3 linked regions of the Cricetulus griseus genome follow. The protein of the gene in region 2 purifies or fractionates together with the protein of the main gene of each other region. This does not show direct contact. Links are inferred from orthologs where the notes say so. Each region holds a gene or a part of one and is shown on either strand. Other genes may lie near its edges.

The links. The genes of interacting proteins can lie anywhere in the genome.
Region 1: the proteins of Ptpn2 (region 2) and Psmd2 purify together in Homo sapiens (affinity purification with mass spectrometry; 3 studies listed by BioGRID and IntAct, with this or other methods). This does not show direct contact. The link is inferred for Cricetulus griseus from reciprocal best matches to the Homo sapiens genes PTPN2 and PSMD2.
Region 3: the proteins of Ptpn2 (region 2) and importin subunit alpha-5 purify together in Homo sapiens (affinity purification with mass spectrometry; 3 studies listed by BioGRID and IntAct, with this or other methods). This does not show direct contact. The link is inferred for Cricetulus griseus from reciprocal best matches to the Homo sapiens genes PTPN2 and KPNA1.

What each region holds. Positions count from the first base shown.
Region 1 is NC_048597.1:67,993,235-67,997,252, forward strand, and holds the start of Psmd2 (26S proteasome non-ATPase regulatory subunit 2), read right to left. Parts: upstream 2,807-4,018; coding exon 2,672-2,806; intron 2,285-2,671; coding exon 2,228-2,284; intron 1,960-2,227; coding exon 1,795-1,959; intron 1-1,794. UniProt on the Homo sapiens protein: Component of the 26S proteasome, a multiprotein complex involved in the ATP-dependent degradation of ubiquitinated proteins.
Region 2 is NC_048595.1:171,691,517-171,695,589, reverse strand, and holds the start of Ptpn2 (tyrosine-protein phosphatase non-receptor type 2), read right to left. Parts: upstream 2,810-4,073; 5' UTR 2,702-2,809; coding exon 2,633-2,701; intron 1-2,632. UniProt on the Homo sapiens protein: Non-receptor type tyrosine-specific phosphatase that dephosphorylates receptor protein tyrosine kinases including INSR, EGFR, CSF1R, PDGFR.
Region 3 is NC_048597.1:53,691,087-53,695,057, reverse strand, and holds the start of importin subunit alpha-5, read left to right. Parts: upstream 1-1,165; 5' UTR 1,166-1,323; intron 1,324-3,971. UniProt on the Homo sapiens protein: Functions in nuclear protein import as an adapter protein for nuclear receptor KPNB1. Binds specifically and directly to substrates containing either a simple or bipartite NLS motif.

The sequences.
Region 1 (4,018 bases), on a different chromosome or scaffold from region 2:
ATGGCTCAGAGGTTAAGAGCACTGTCTACCCTTCCAGAGGTCCTGAGTTCAATTCCCAGCAACCACATGGTGGCTCACAACCATCCATTATGAGATCTGGTGCCCTCTTCTGGTGTGCAGATATACATGGAAGCAGAATGTTGCATACATAATAAATAAATAAAATGTTAAAAAAAAAAAAGTTTTTAATAAGCTGGGCAGTAGTGGTGAGCACTTTTAATCCCACCCCTCAGGAGGTAGAGACAGGTAGGTCTGAGTTTGAGGCCAACCTGATCTATAAAGCAAGTTGTAGGACAGCCTGGGCTGTTACACAGAGAAACCCTGTCTCAAAAACAAACATACAAAAAGGGTTCAAAAAAAAAAAAACAACAACAACAACAAAAAGACCCATAATCTACAAGTCTGAATAACTGGCTCAACAGTTAATAAAACACATTGCTCTTACAGAGGAACTGAGTTCAGTTCCCAGAACCCATGGAAGGGTTCACAACAGTCTTACTCATCCAGTTCTACGGATCAGTTCTCCGCTTCTAGCCTGCACAGACACTACATACAGGTAGTAGGCATATATCATACAGGCAGGCAAAACACTCATCCACATAAAGTAAAAATAAATCTTTAATAAAAATTTCCACCTGGTGGTGACACACAACTTTAATCCCAGCACTCAGAAGGCAGAGGCAGGTGGATCTCTGACTATGAGGTCAGCCTAGTCTACAGAGTGAGTTCCAGATAGCCAGGGCTACACAGAGAAACCCTATTTAAAAAAAAAAAAAAAAGACAGATGTAGGAGGTCAAGGACAAAAGCAAGCCAATTAGGAGACTACTCAATAATCCACTAGAAATAGACTTCTGGGGCTGGAGAGATGCTCAGAGGTTAAGAGCACCAGTTGCTCTTTCACAGGACCATGGTTCCATAGCCCCAGTGTGCACATAGCAGCTCACAGTGCTTGTAACTCAGGGGTCTGAGGCCCTCTTCTGGATTCCACAGGCACTGAATGCACATACTGCATAAACATACATGCAGGCAAACACCCACACACATAAAATAAAATAAATAATAATTGAAAGAAAAATGAAAACCATGCATACTGGTTTATGCCTCCAAACCCAGCACTCCACAGTCTGAGGCAGGAGGAGGAATGCCACAAATTCACTCCTAGTCCAGGCCACATAGTGAGTGAGTTTGAGGCCAAACTGGGCCACAAGAAATAAATAGGTTAGAGAGGCTGGCAATGGCTCAACAGTTAAGAACACTTCCTACATAATCATGAGGATCAGAGTTCAAATCCTAGCACTGTGATCTAACAAGCCAGGCACACCACAAACACCTCTAAATACCAAGGGTCTCTATGCATGCATAGGTGTGGCCTCTAGGCATGTGCGCACACACACACACACACACACACACACACTAACATATAAACAAAATAAAAAATTTAAAAGTTAGAAACGCATTATGCCAAGAAAACCTCAAGGTCTTCTAAGGAGCTGAGGGGCTAATTCTGATTATCATGAACTTTTGTGCTAGGTCTGGTCTATGAGGCTTTCAGTGACTTACCATGGGTCCGGTTGTCTACTTAAAAAGGGATTTTTCACCCGGGCAGAGGTAGCCCATGCCTTTAATCCCAGCACTTGGGAGGCAGAGGCAGCCGGCTCTCTGTGAGTTCAAGGCCAGCCTGGTCTACAGAGTGAGTTCCAGGACAGCCAAGGCTACACAGAGAAACCCGGTCTCAAAATAATAAAATAACAGAATTCTTCAACTGCACAGACACCCACCATATTCTGAATTACCTTATTCTCCCCAGGGGCCATGTTCTCATAGATTTCCTTCAGTTTGCCATAGTGTGGACGAAGAAATTTTAGAGGCTTGGGTACTGAAGTCATGGAAGTTGTAGAAGAACGAATCTGTCTTCTCAGTTCCTCCAGGGCTGGTCGGTATAGGGATGTATCCTTCTCCTGATCAGGGGATGTCAGGGTTCAGACCAAAAGGAGTCACATTTCTCCATATCACAACCATAAAGACATAACTGGTTCCTATTCCATGATTCCTAACTCCTGTAAATTGCCTGAGACACAGGACGCTATTCAAATATCCTTTGTAACTCTTTTCCCTGGCATCATCATATCTAATATGTGATACCTAGTCGTTGCCTCAAAATGATACAGAGCAAACAAGTGGGAAACATCCAAATATACTCCCCGCTCAGGAAACATCTTGACTCACCCCGAGTCGCTCCACGAGCATCTCCAGTTCATCTTGAAGTTGTTTGTCCTCCTCAGACTGGAAGGTTGAAGGAAGAAGCTCATTAACCCTAATCACATTCTCCTCCCATTCACCCCGGGACAGGTGGAGAGTGCGAATGCACCCCAGGAGGGACAGATGGACAAGAGATGGGAGCAGGACCGGAAGCAACCTTGCTGGAAAGGCAGTCTAGAGCCAGGTAGGCTCTGCTTGGAAGCCGTTCCAGGGTATTATGGCAAAGACCCAGGAAGAGTTGGTGAGGCCCGCAGGGGATGGCAGTGCGTAATGAGGGGGGCATAAAAGCAACGTCTCCCTTTTCTGTGTCTCCCGGCTGCGGTGGGCCGTAGGGAGTCGGGCCCGAGGCCTTCGAGCCAGCAGTGACTCAGCCCGAGGCCTCTTCTCCATGCTCCCGAAGCTGAGCCTCACCAGCTCCTGCTCTTTGTCTTTGTCCCCGGCATCCCGCCGCTCCTTGCCGCTCGACTTCTCGTCCGCGCCAGCCGGGGCCGTCGCTGAGGGTTGTTGGGACTGCACCGGCGTCTTGTCTCGTCCACCCTCCTCCATCTCGGCCACCACTGCCGGCCCGCTGCGCGCGCACCTGCTCGCACCGCCCCTTTTCCCAGACGGCCTCGCGCGTCATCCTCCAGACCGGAAACGCCCAGCGGATTCCGGGCCCCGCCCCCTGAGGCAGGCGGGGTATTACAGTTCCGGCCTCTGGCGCTGGGGACTGCTGTGGCATCTCGACGTCTCTGAGCTGTTAAGAAAGTGCTCAGTGGCGAAACCTAGCTCTCTTCTCCCGTGGCTTCACCACAGCTGGTGCGTGGTGCGACAAACGGACAAGACTCTCGGCGGAGATCTGTGACGGCAGTGTGATTATGTCTAGCCTCACACCATTGTGGAATAGTAACCGCAAAACACACACACACACACCCCGCAAAACACACACACACACACATACACACACACACACACACCGCAAAACACACACGCGCGCGCACACACACACACACCGCAAAACACACACACACACACACACACACCCCCGCAAAACACACACACACACACACACCGCAAAACACACACACACGCACGCACGCGCACACACACACACACACACACACACACACACACACACACACACGCCTCAGTTGAGTGAGTGATACTACCTGAAGCTTACGTGTTTATTAGTACAGGCTAGCCTCAGACTCGCTATATAGCATGACTTTAGACCTCATGGTGCGGCCTCTGCCTAGGGAGTGCTGGGATTACAGGCATGAGCCAGCACCCCTGCTACTGCTCATCTTTAAAACCTATCACTTTTGCACTCAGTGCAGGATTCTACGCATAACCATCCCTTTCCACTGTCAACGACTTCTCCAGCCTTTTGACAGAAATTGGACAGCCCGTGGCTGCTCTGCCTGTTCTGTCTTTAGGATGTCTGTACATTTCCATGCTTGCTTTAGTTCTCTGTAACGAATTTCTACCAGTTCAGTCAGTCGCATACCAATCGATATGTTGGACCTGCACTGGATATTGTGCCATAAAACAGTTTGTCTAACAGCTGATGAGTCCAGATGACGAGTATATGAAAAGTTGTCGGGATATATTACAACTTTTTTGTAAGTATAAATTGTTTTGAAATAAAAACTTGAAAAGATGGGGGAACTCAAACTTTAGAAGTTTATGATACTAAAACCAAATTCTGCCATGTACCAGCTGTGTTCTTTGATTAAGCTTCCTAAATTCAGCCTATTTTCACCTATGTGAAATACAAAA
Region 2 (4,073 bases):
AAAAATAGTCCTGGATGTTGTGGAACTCACTCTGTAAACGAGGCTGGCCTCAAACTCAGAGAGCTGCCTGTCTCTGCTGGGATTAAAGACATGGACTACCAATGCCCAGCTACAGGCTAGTCTTAAAATCACAACAATCGCCGGGCAGTGGTGGTGCATGCCTTTAATCCCAGCACCTGGGAGGCAGAGGCAGGAGGATCTCTGTGAGTTCAAGACCAGCCTGGTCTACAAGAGCTAGTTCCAGGACAACCTCCAAAGCCACAGGGAAACCCTGTCTGGGGAGGTGGGAGGGGGGGAATAACAACAATCCTCCTGCTTCAGCCTCCTAATTGTTAGGTTACAGGCTGAGCCACCACACCCAGAGTGTGCTTTTTTTTCTGTTAAGATCGGTCACAACTTTCACTGATTTCCCAAGGACATTAATGTTAAACATTTGAATATCCAATTAAGTCAAGTATGTTGGCTCCTTTCAGTTAGGAGTGTGAGGCCGAAGAACTGCTACAAATCTAAACCTAGTAGGGCTACATAGTAAATTTCAGGCCTGTTTGCAATATGAAGCAAGGCTTTGTCTCAAAAAAATAAATGTTAGGCTAAATTTAGTTGTAATATTAGCCCTTTAAAATTGATTATTACTATTATTTTACACACACACAGAGAGAGAGAGAGAGAGAGAGAGAGAGAGAGAGAGAGAGAGAGAGAGAGAGAAAACAGACTAGAATTTGCATTTAAGATTTTCTATAAGCTAGAGATGGCTCAGCAATTAAGAGCACTGGCTGCTCTTCCAAAGGACCAGTGTTCAATTCCCAGCACCCACATGCCAGCTCACAACTGTCTGTAACTCCAGTTTCAGGGCATCCAACATCCTCACACAGACATACATGCAAACACCAATTCAAATAAAATAAAAATAAGTTGTTTTTAAGTTTTCTACAATTGCATTCATCCCAGCACTTTGACAGTGGAAATCTGAGATCAGAGTTCAAGGCCAGTCTGAGCTACAATGAGACCCTGTCACAAAACAAAACATAGTATAACACAGATTCTGTAATGGGAAGCGTCCTCACTAACATTCTTTAGAAACTAGCATATTAGCTGGAAAGATGGCTCAGGGGGTAAAAGGTATTTGTTTCCAAGCCTGATGACCCAAGTTCTATTTCTAGGATACACATACTACAAGACAACTAAAATCTGAAAGTTGTCCTATGACCTCTACACAAATGCCAAGGGGACTGCCCTCCTCCCGTGTAGTAGTAGTAGTAAATAATAATAACTAGTGCCTTATTCTATGCTGAACCTGGCAAATCAGAATGTTTAATATATTGATTATGCTAAAGTGTTTAAGAAAATGTTCTAACCAGATGTGGTGGCACATGGCTTTAATCCCAGCACTCAGGAAGCAAAGGTGGGATTTGTGAGTTCAAGGTCAGGCTGGTCTACGAAGCTAGTTCCAGGCCTGCTAGAGTTACAGACCAAGAACCTGTCTCACAGTGGGATAGAAGAAGAAATAAGTCAAAAAAAAAAAAAAAAAAAAAAAAAAAGAATCATCCGGAGGTAAAAGAAAGCTTTCTAGCTTCAATTTTACTGTAGGAATAAGCCAAAACATAGGAAGACATATTTAATAACTCACCAATCACTAAATTCCATCTTGGGAGCAATGTTAATGATTAGCAACGAATCATTTTTAAGGGTAGTAAAGTTTTGCCTGTATTAAAAGGTAAGCCACTAGCTGAAAAAACGTAGTCACAAGCGTTCATAGTACAGACTACTTTAGTACGAGCACAATAGGTAAGGTTATTCTCTGACGACAGAAAACAGGGGCAGCCTATGGACATGTGGCCTCTTTGGGGCCGAAAGAGTGAGCGCTTCAACCACGGGGGCACTCATTTGGGAAACGCGCCCAAAAGCAAAGTTCATATAAAGATCTGCGGTGCACTATATACACATCTGTAAAGTATGCCTAAGCAAAGGACATTTTTTAAAGAGGACGCTACTTTAGTCACTGATAATAAAACCAAAGCCTCTGTTCCGGGAAGCTCTAGCATACGATGACCCCACTCTCCGGGAGAAAGCAGCCCATGAAAAAAAGAAAAAAAAAAAAAAAAAAAAGGACTGACGATCCCCAATCCCTTGGGAGCTTTCGCCACCGCTTTAGCTCCGGTTCTGCTATCGCCACAGGCCCCCGAGAACACAGCAAGTCACCAAGACCCCGCTTCGCCCGGGCTGGCTCCGATCACAGGGCTTGCTCGCCCTTTGCGCTGCACCGGCTACCAACGCGCTCGGCCACCGAACACCGGCCGACAAGGACGCTGTCGACGAGCAAGCGGAGACTGTGTCACCCCGCTCCCGGGGTCCCTCGACCCTCCACCCAGCGCACTACACGCCGGGGCCGGGCCGCGCAGCCAGCAGGCGCCGCTGTGGCGCCGCCTTCACAACCAACAGCTTCCAGCCACCTCGATGCTTCCCGTCTAAAGCCTCGCAAAGGGGGGTGAGGGCTTTCCGCGCAGGCGCGCCCCTGACGCGGCCCGCGCTCGCCACTTCCGCCCGAACGGGAGGCGGGGGAGGCGACACGGAGCCGGCAGGCGCGAGCTCGGATCCTCGGAAGACTCAGACCCCGCGCGGGCCAGAGACTCACCAAGTATAACGGCTGCCAGCGACACTGAGCATCCAGTTCCTCGAACTCCTCCTCGATGGTGGCCGACATGGCGGCGGGAGAGCGCGAGCGAGAGCGGAACCACCACAGCAGAGCGGCTCGGGCCCCGCTCTATCCGGGGAGAGCGCTGGCGCTGTGGCGCTGTGGCGCATGCGCGCTCCGCTCCCCGCCCCGCCCCCACGTTGATCCGAGCCGGCCTTGGGGAAAGTACCTGGAGCGTCGGACGTCAGCGCGTCGCCTGGGCGCCGCGTGTGTTGGACGTCTCGGAGGAGGGGCGATCGCGAGGGGGCGTGGTCCGGAGAGTGCCCAGGTGGGAGGGGCGGGGCCGGGCGCCACCCTGGAACTACGTTGAACGGTGTCTGCCCGGGGAGGTGAGAAAGTTCCTTGGAATGTCACCGGCCAGCTCTGTCTTCCTCGCCGCTCCAGTTCTTTTTCTTCTTAGTCTTCAAGTTTTTTTTTAATGCAGTATGAGTTCTATTTAAATACCATCTAGGTTAGTCTAATAGCATGTGTTCAACTTTGGAACACGTTATGGTGATGTCATCCCGGATAAGTTTTGTGCCAAACAAAGCTCTATAGGAAAAGAGAAAGCATTTGGGAGAGTGTCTTGTTTAGAATAAGACTCACAGCTCCAAAGTTAGTGTTGTCTGTTCAAAGCACATCTAAATCCCCTTCTACGAAATAGATGCCTGGCTCCGGAAATCGTTTTGCCTCAGCTTTGTGATAACTCAATGTTGGTGAACTCATGTGCTTAAAAATCTTACCATCTGATAATCTTCAGAAATATGAAGGATGCTTCTGGGCCTTTTCACTAGATCTACAATTAACTCAGCTAAGAAATTATGAATTCGGTGAAGCTCCGTGTTCATCCCCCAGCACTGAGGGCGAGGAACAAAAGCCCTAAATACAGCGATCCCATTTCTTGGTGTCCATCCGGCACTTTTGCTCATAGCCTCATGTGGCTAGTGACTGCCTTCCGTGGCCTAAGGCACAAGTAGGTCGTTTGTGTCATCCAAGAAGATTATTTGGTTTTGGATGTTTGGGGTTGGGTTGTTTGGTTTGGGGGGGGGTGGATTTTTTTGGTTGGTTTGTTTTGTTTTGAAATGGTTTCAAAAAGCAGCCCAACCTCCAACCTGGGATCCTACTGCTTCTACATCCTAAATGCTGGGATTTGTTTTTGGTTTTTTTTGTTTTTGTTTTTCGAGACAGGGTTTCTCGGTGTAGCTTTGGAGCCTATCCTAGCACTCGCTCTGGAGACCAGGCTGGCCTCAAATTCACAGAGATCCACTGCCTCTGCCTCCCAAGTGCTGGGATTAAAGGCGTGCGCCACCAAAGCCCAGTTTTTAGAGACAGGGTTTCTCTGTGGTTTTGGAGGCTGTCCTGGAACTAGCTCTTATAGACCAGGCTGGTCTCAAACTCACAA
Region 3 (3,971 bases), on a different chromosome or scaffold from region 2:
GGAGGCAGTAACTGAAACAGACCATGGAGGAAATGTGGTTACTCTATCATTCTCAGCTTACTATCTTATACAGCCCAAGGGTGGCACTGTCCACAGTGGGCTGGGCACATCATGAGTTAGGAAAATGCCTCACAGACATGCCCACAGGCCAATCTGATGGGAACCAGTCTCCCATTCAGGGTCCCTCTTACCAGGTGACTCTAGTTTGTGTTAAGGTTATTAAAACCGCCACTGGAGCCAAGACAAACGACCATTGCTTTACCTAGGATTCAGTCAGTGTGGTCCTTTGTCTCCCTCTTTCTTACATTTATAAGGGTGTTGACGCCGTCTGTTGCTCTTCAGTATTCCTTTTAAACAGACTCGTTAAACCATGTCCTGTGTGTGAAATTCTTCAGTGACCTCTGCTTGGCTTGCTTAAGGTGTTCTTTTGAAGCCACAACCCTACTCTCCAGAAAGAAAAACAATCATTTTCCTAAACATTTTGTTTGAGAGAACTTACTCAGATCAATGCCAATGTTTTTACTAAAAATTAACATCATCGAGCCAAGGTGTTCCTACGTAGTAGTCATGCCGGTCTAGAACTTGCCATTCTCCTGCCTCAGCCGTCCCAGTGCTGAGTGGTGTGCTAACGATCCAGGCTCAAAAATTATTTTGTTAATGTTTTATGGGACTAATAAATTACTAGGCAAAATGGGAGAGAGCCGAAGAGAATACCCAGAAGGTTCCCACAAACGAGTGGCGTGTGAATTCTTTGAACGTGAGGCACTGACGTATTTCGCGATACTCCCTCAGCCTCCAACCATGCCATCGTTCATCCAATAAGCGCGCTCGGTGTGTGAGGCACCTACCATGTGAGAGGGTGGCTATGGAGATGTGAGGTGTGTGGGGAGGGCGGTATCCGTCCATTCTAGAAGAGCTTAGTAAGGACACGTTTGTCTCCATAACTTGTACGTGTCTTTACTTTTCCGGACTGCAAACCTCGTTCTCAGAGACCCACGCCCTGGCCGCGTCCACTCGGGAAAGAACGCTTCAGAGACTCCGCTTCCCGGCAGCCCCTGCGGCGGGCGGCGGAAAGGCGCACGCAGGCGCGCAGGCCGGCCCCCGCACGCAGGCGCACTGCGCACGCCGGCTGAGCTGGGTCTCGCGGCTCGGTGCGCGGCGGCGGCGCGGCGGCGGCGCGGGCGGCGGCGAGAGCGAGGCCTGGTGAGCGCCGCCGTGGTGCGCGCCGGCCGGTCAAGGTTGTGCGCGGAAGAGGCGCAGCGGGCCGACAAGAAGCGAGCGTCTCACCCTCACGGCGGCACCGGGACCGGTCGCCTGGAGCCGGTGAGTGGGGGGCTTCCCCGCGGCCCCTCCCCCTCGGCGGGCGGCTCTGGTTCCCTCCGGGGACCCGAGGGAGGCCCCGGGGCGAAGGCGGACGCGGGCGCCGGCCGGGAGCTGTCGCTGTCGCGCCGGGGACCGGACCTTCGCGTCGCTCCGGTGCGTCACGGGACTGGCGGTTCTAACGGCCCGCGCGGCGGCGGCGGCGGCGGAGGAGCGGGGTGGGGGTGGGGAACGCCGGTCGGGGCGGGGCGGCGGTGGAAGCGGCGTCGGGGACTGCGGGGCGCCGGGCGGCGGCGCGGAGTCTGCGCGCCGCGCTAGGCTGAGGGCGGGGGCGGAGGCGGGTGTCGCGGGGTGCGGTGGCCGAGGCCCAGGCGTGCGGGGCCGTTCCGGGAGTTGGCAGGTTACCGCCCGGGCCGGTGTTTGGAGGGAGGCGGTGGGGGTGGAGACGGGAGGCTGCAGTTTACAGATGTCATAACTACGCGGGCCTGGAGCTGCTGACGGGGGTGTGGTAATTATAGCAATGACAACTTGGTCGTCTGTGTGAGCGGTGATGCGAGGGAAACCGCCAAGCGTTAGCTGAAGCTCGCAGTGGGAGCAGAAAACTGGAGGGCGACTGAAGTCAGGGATGTCGGCAAGAAAGAAGGAGAGGGTTGAATGCGTGCGATCCTCTTGGCAATGAAAAGTTTCAAATGAATTGATTTTCTTTTTAAGGCTTAAACTTCGGTTTGGTAAACTAGTATCAGAATCAACAACGGAGAAATGCTTTTGAAATTCTGTGTGAAACACTAACATCTATCCTTTTTTTTTCCCCTTAAAACAGTTCCTTCAAATCCCACCTCCCTGTCACTCTCCCCCCCCCCCTTTTTTTTTTTTTTTTTTGAGGATGGGTTTTGCTTGGTAGGCTGTCTTTGTGCTTGTCCTGGCTTCTTGGGTGCCAGGATTTCCATCACCCTAGATGATATTCCCACGTTCTTGTTGCTTTGTTGCCTTTTCTTTGTTTTTGAGACAAGGCTCACTATGTAGTCATGGCTGGACTAGCACTGGATACATTGCCCATGGTTGTCTTGAATTCAGAACTGTCTTCCCTCAGCCTCTCAAGTGCTGGGGTTTTAGGAACAACAGCATGCCTGATTGACTCATACAAATTCTGAGACAGGGTCCCTTTACATATTCCTCCTAGAACTCACATGTAGACCAGGCTGTCTTTGAACTTAGAGATCCACCTGCCCCTGACTCGTGAAATTCTGGAATTAAAGACATGTACTGTCACGCCTCCATTGTTTTTTTTTTTTTAATGTTTTAACTTTTTTTTTTTAAAGAATTATTTATTATACAGTGTTCTGCCTACATGTATGCCTGCAGGTCAGAGAGGGCACTAGATCTCATTGCAGATGATTGTGAGCCACCATGTGGTTGCTGGGAATTGAACTCAGGACTTCTGGAAGAGCAGGCGGTGCTCTTATCCTCTGAACCATCTCTCCAGCCCTCACACCTCCGTTTTAAAGTTTACAAGGTCTAAATTTTGAAAGGAAACTGAGAGTGATTTGTCTGTAATTTTGGTGAAATAACTTATTTTTTGTTACCTTTTTATGTAATGTTTTTGGATGGGTGATTTAAAATAAGATGGAGGTCTGAGAGGAAGTAAAATAAAACAAATTTACAGTAACTTTGAACTAGATGTTAACTTTTCCTAGTATAGATGAAAGCATGGAAGAGCACAGTATTTTCAGAATAGCTTGTTTCTTAAACATATTTTGCTTATTTTTTATGAATGTGAGTGTTTTGCCTGAATATATGTAATGCATCATGATCGTGCCTGGTGCTTACAGAGGGCAGAGAGGGATTTAGATCCTTTGAAACTGAACTTGCAAAGGGTTTGAGCTGCACTACGGGTGCTGGGAACCAAACATGGGTCTTCTTCAAAAGCAGCAAGTGCTCTTAACTGCTGAACCATCTCTCTCATTCAGAAATCACTGGAAGAAGATGGCATAGCTCTTGAAATCTTAGTCGTAGGGAATCAAATTGTTACTCATTGACTATAAAGAGTAAGAGCTAGGGCCGGGCGTTGGTGGCGCAGGCCTTTAATCCCAGCACTTGGGAGGCAGAGGCAGGCAGACCTCTGTGAGTTCGAGGCCAGCCTGCTCTCCAGAGCGAGTGCCAGGAGAGGCTCCAAAGCTACACAGAGAAACCCTGTCTCAAACAACAACAACAACAAAAAAAAAACAAAAACAAACAAACAAAAAAAAGTAAGAGCTAGTAGCTTGTGCCAATAATACTAGCATAGCAAAGCCTAGTATGGGGCAGGAGTGTAGCATGCCAGAGGCCTGGAGTTGACCGCACACACAATTTTACAAAGAGCCTGACAAAATCAACCCTGAAAAACCTCCAGTAAAGTAATGAGAATAAAGATATTACTTGAAATCAAATATTTGGATTATGCTTTTTTTCTTTCTTTTTGAGACAGGGTCTCTCTGTAGACTCAGCACCCTTAGAACTTTGTAGAGAAGTTGGACTCAAAGTCACAGATACCCACCTGCCTTTGCCTTGAAAGTTCTGGGAATAAAAATGTGTCTCACTATGCCAGGCTATTATGCACATTTTATTTTATTTTCTTGGGGCCAGGGATCCATTTCCTAGACTTACACATACTG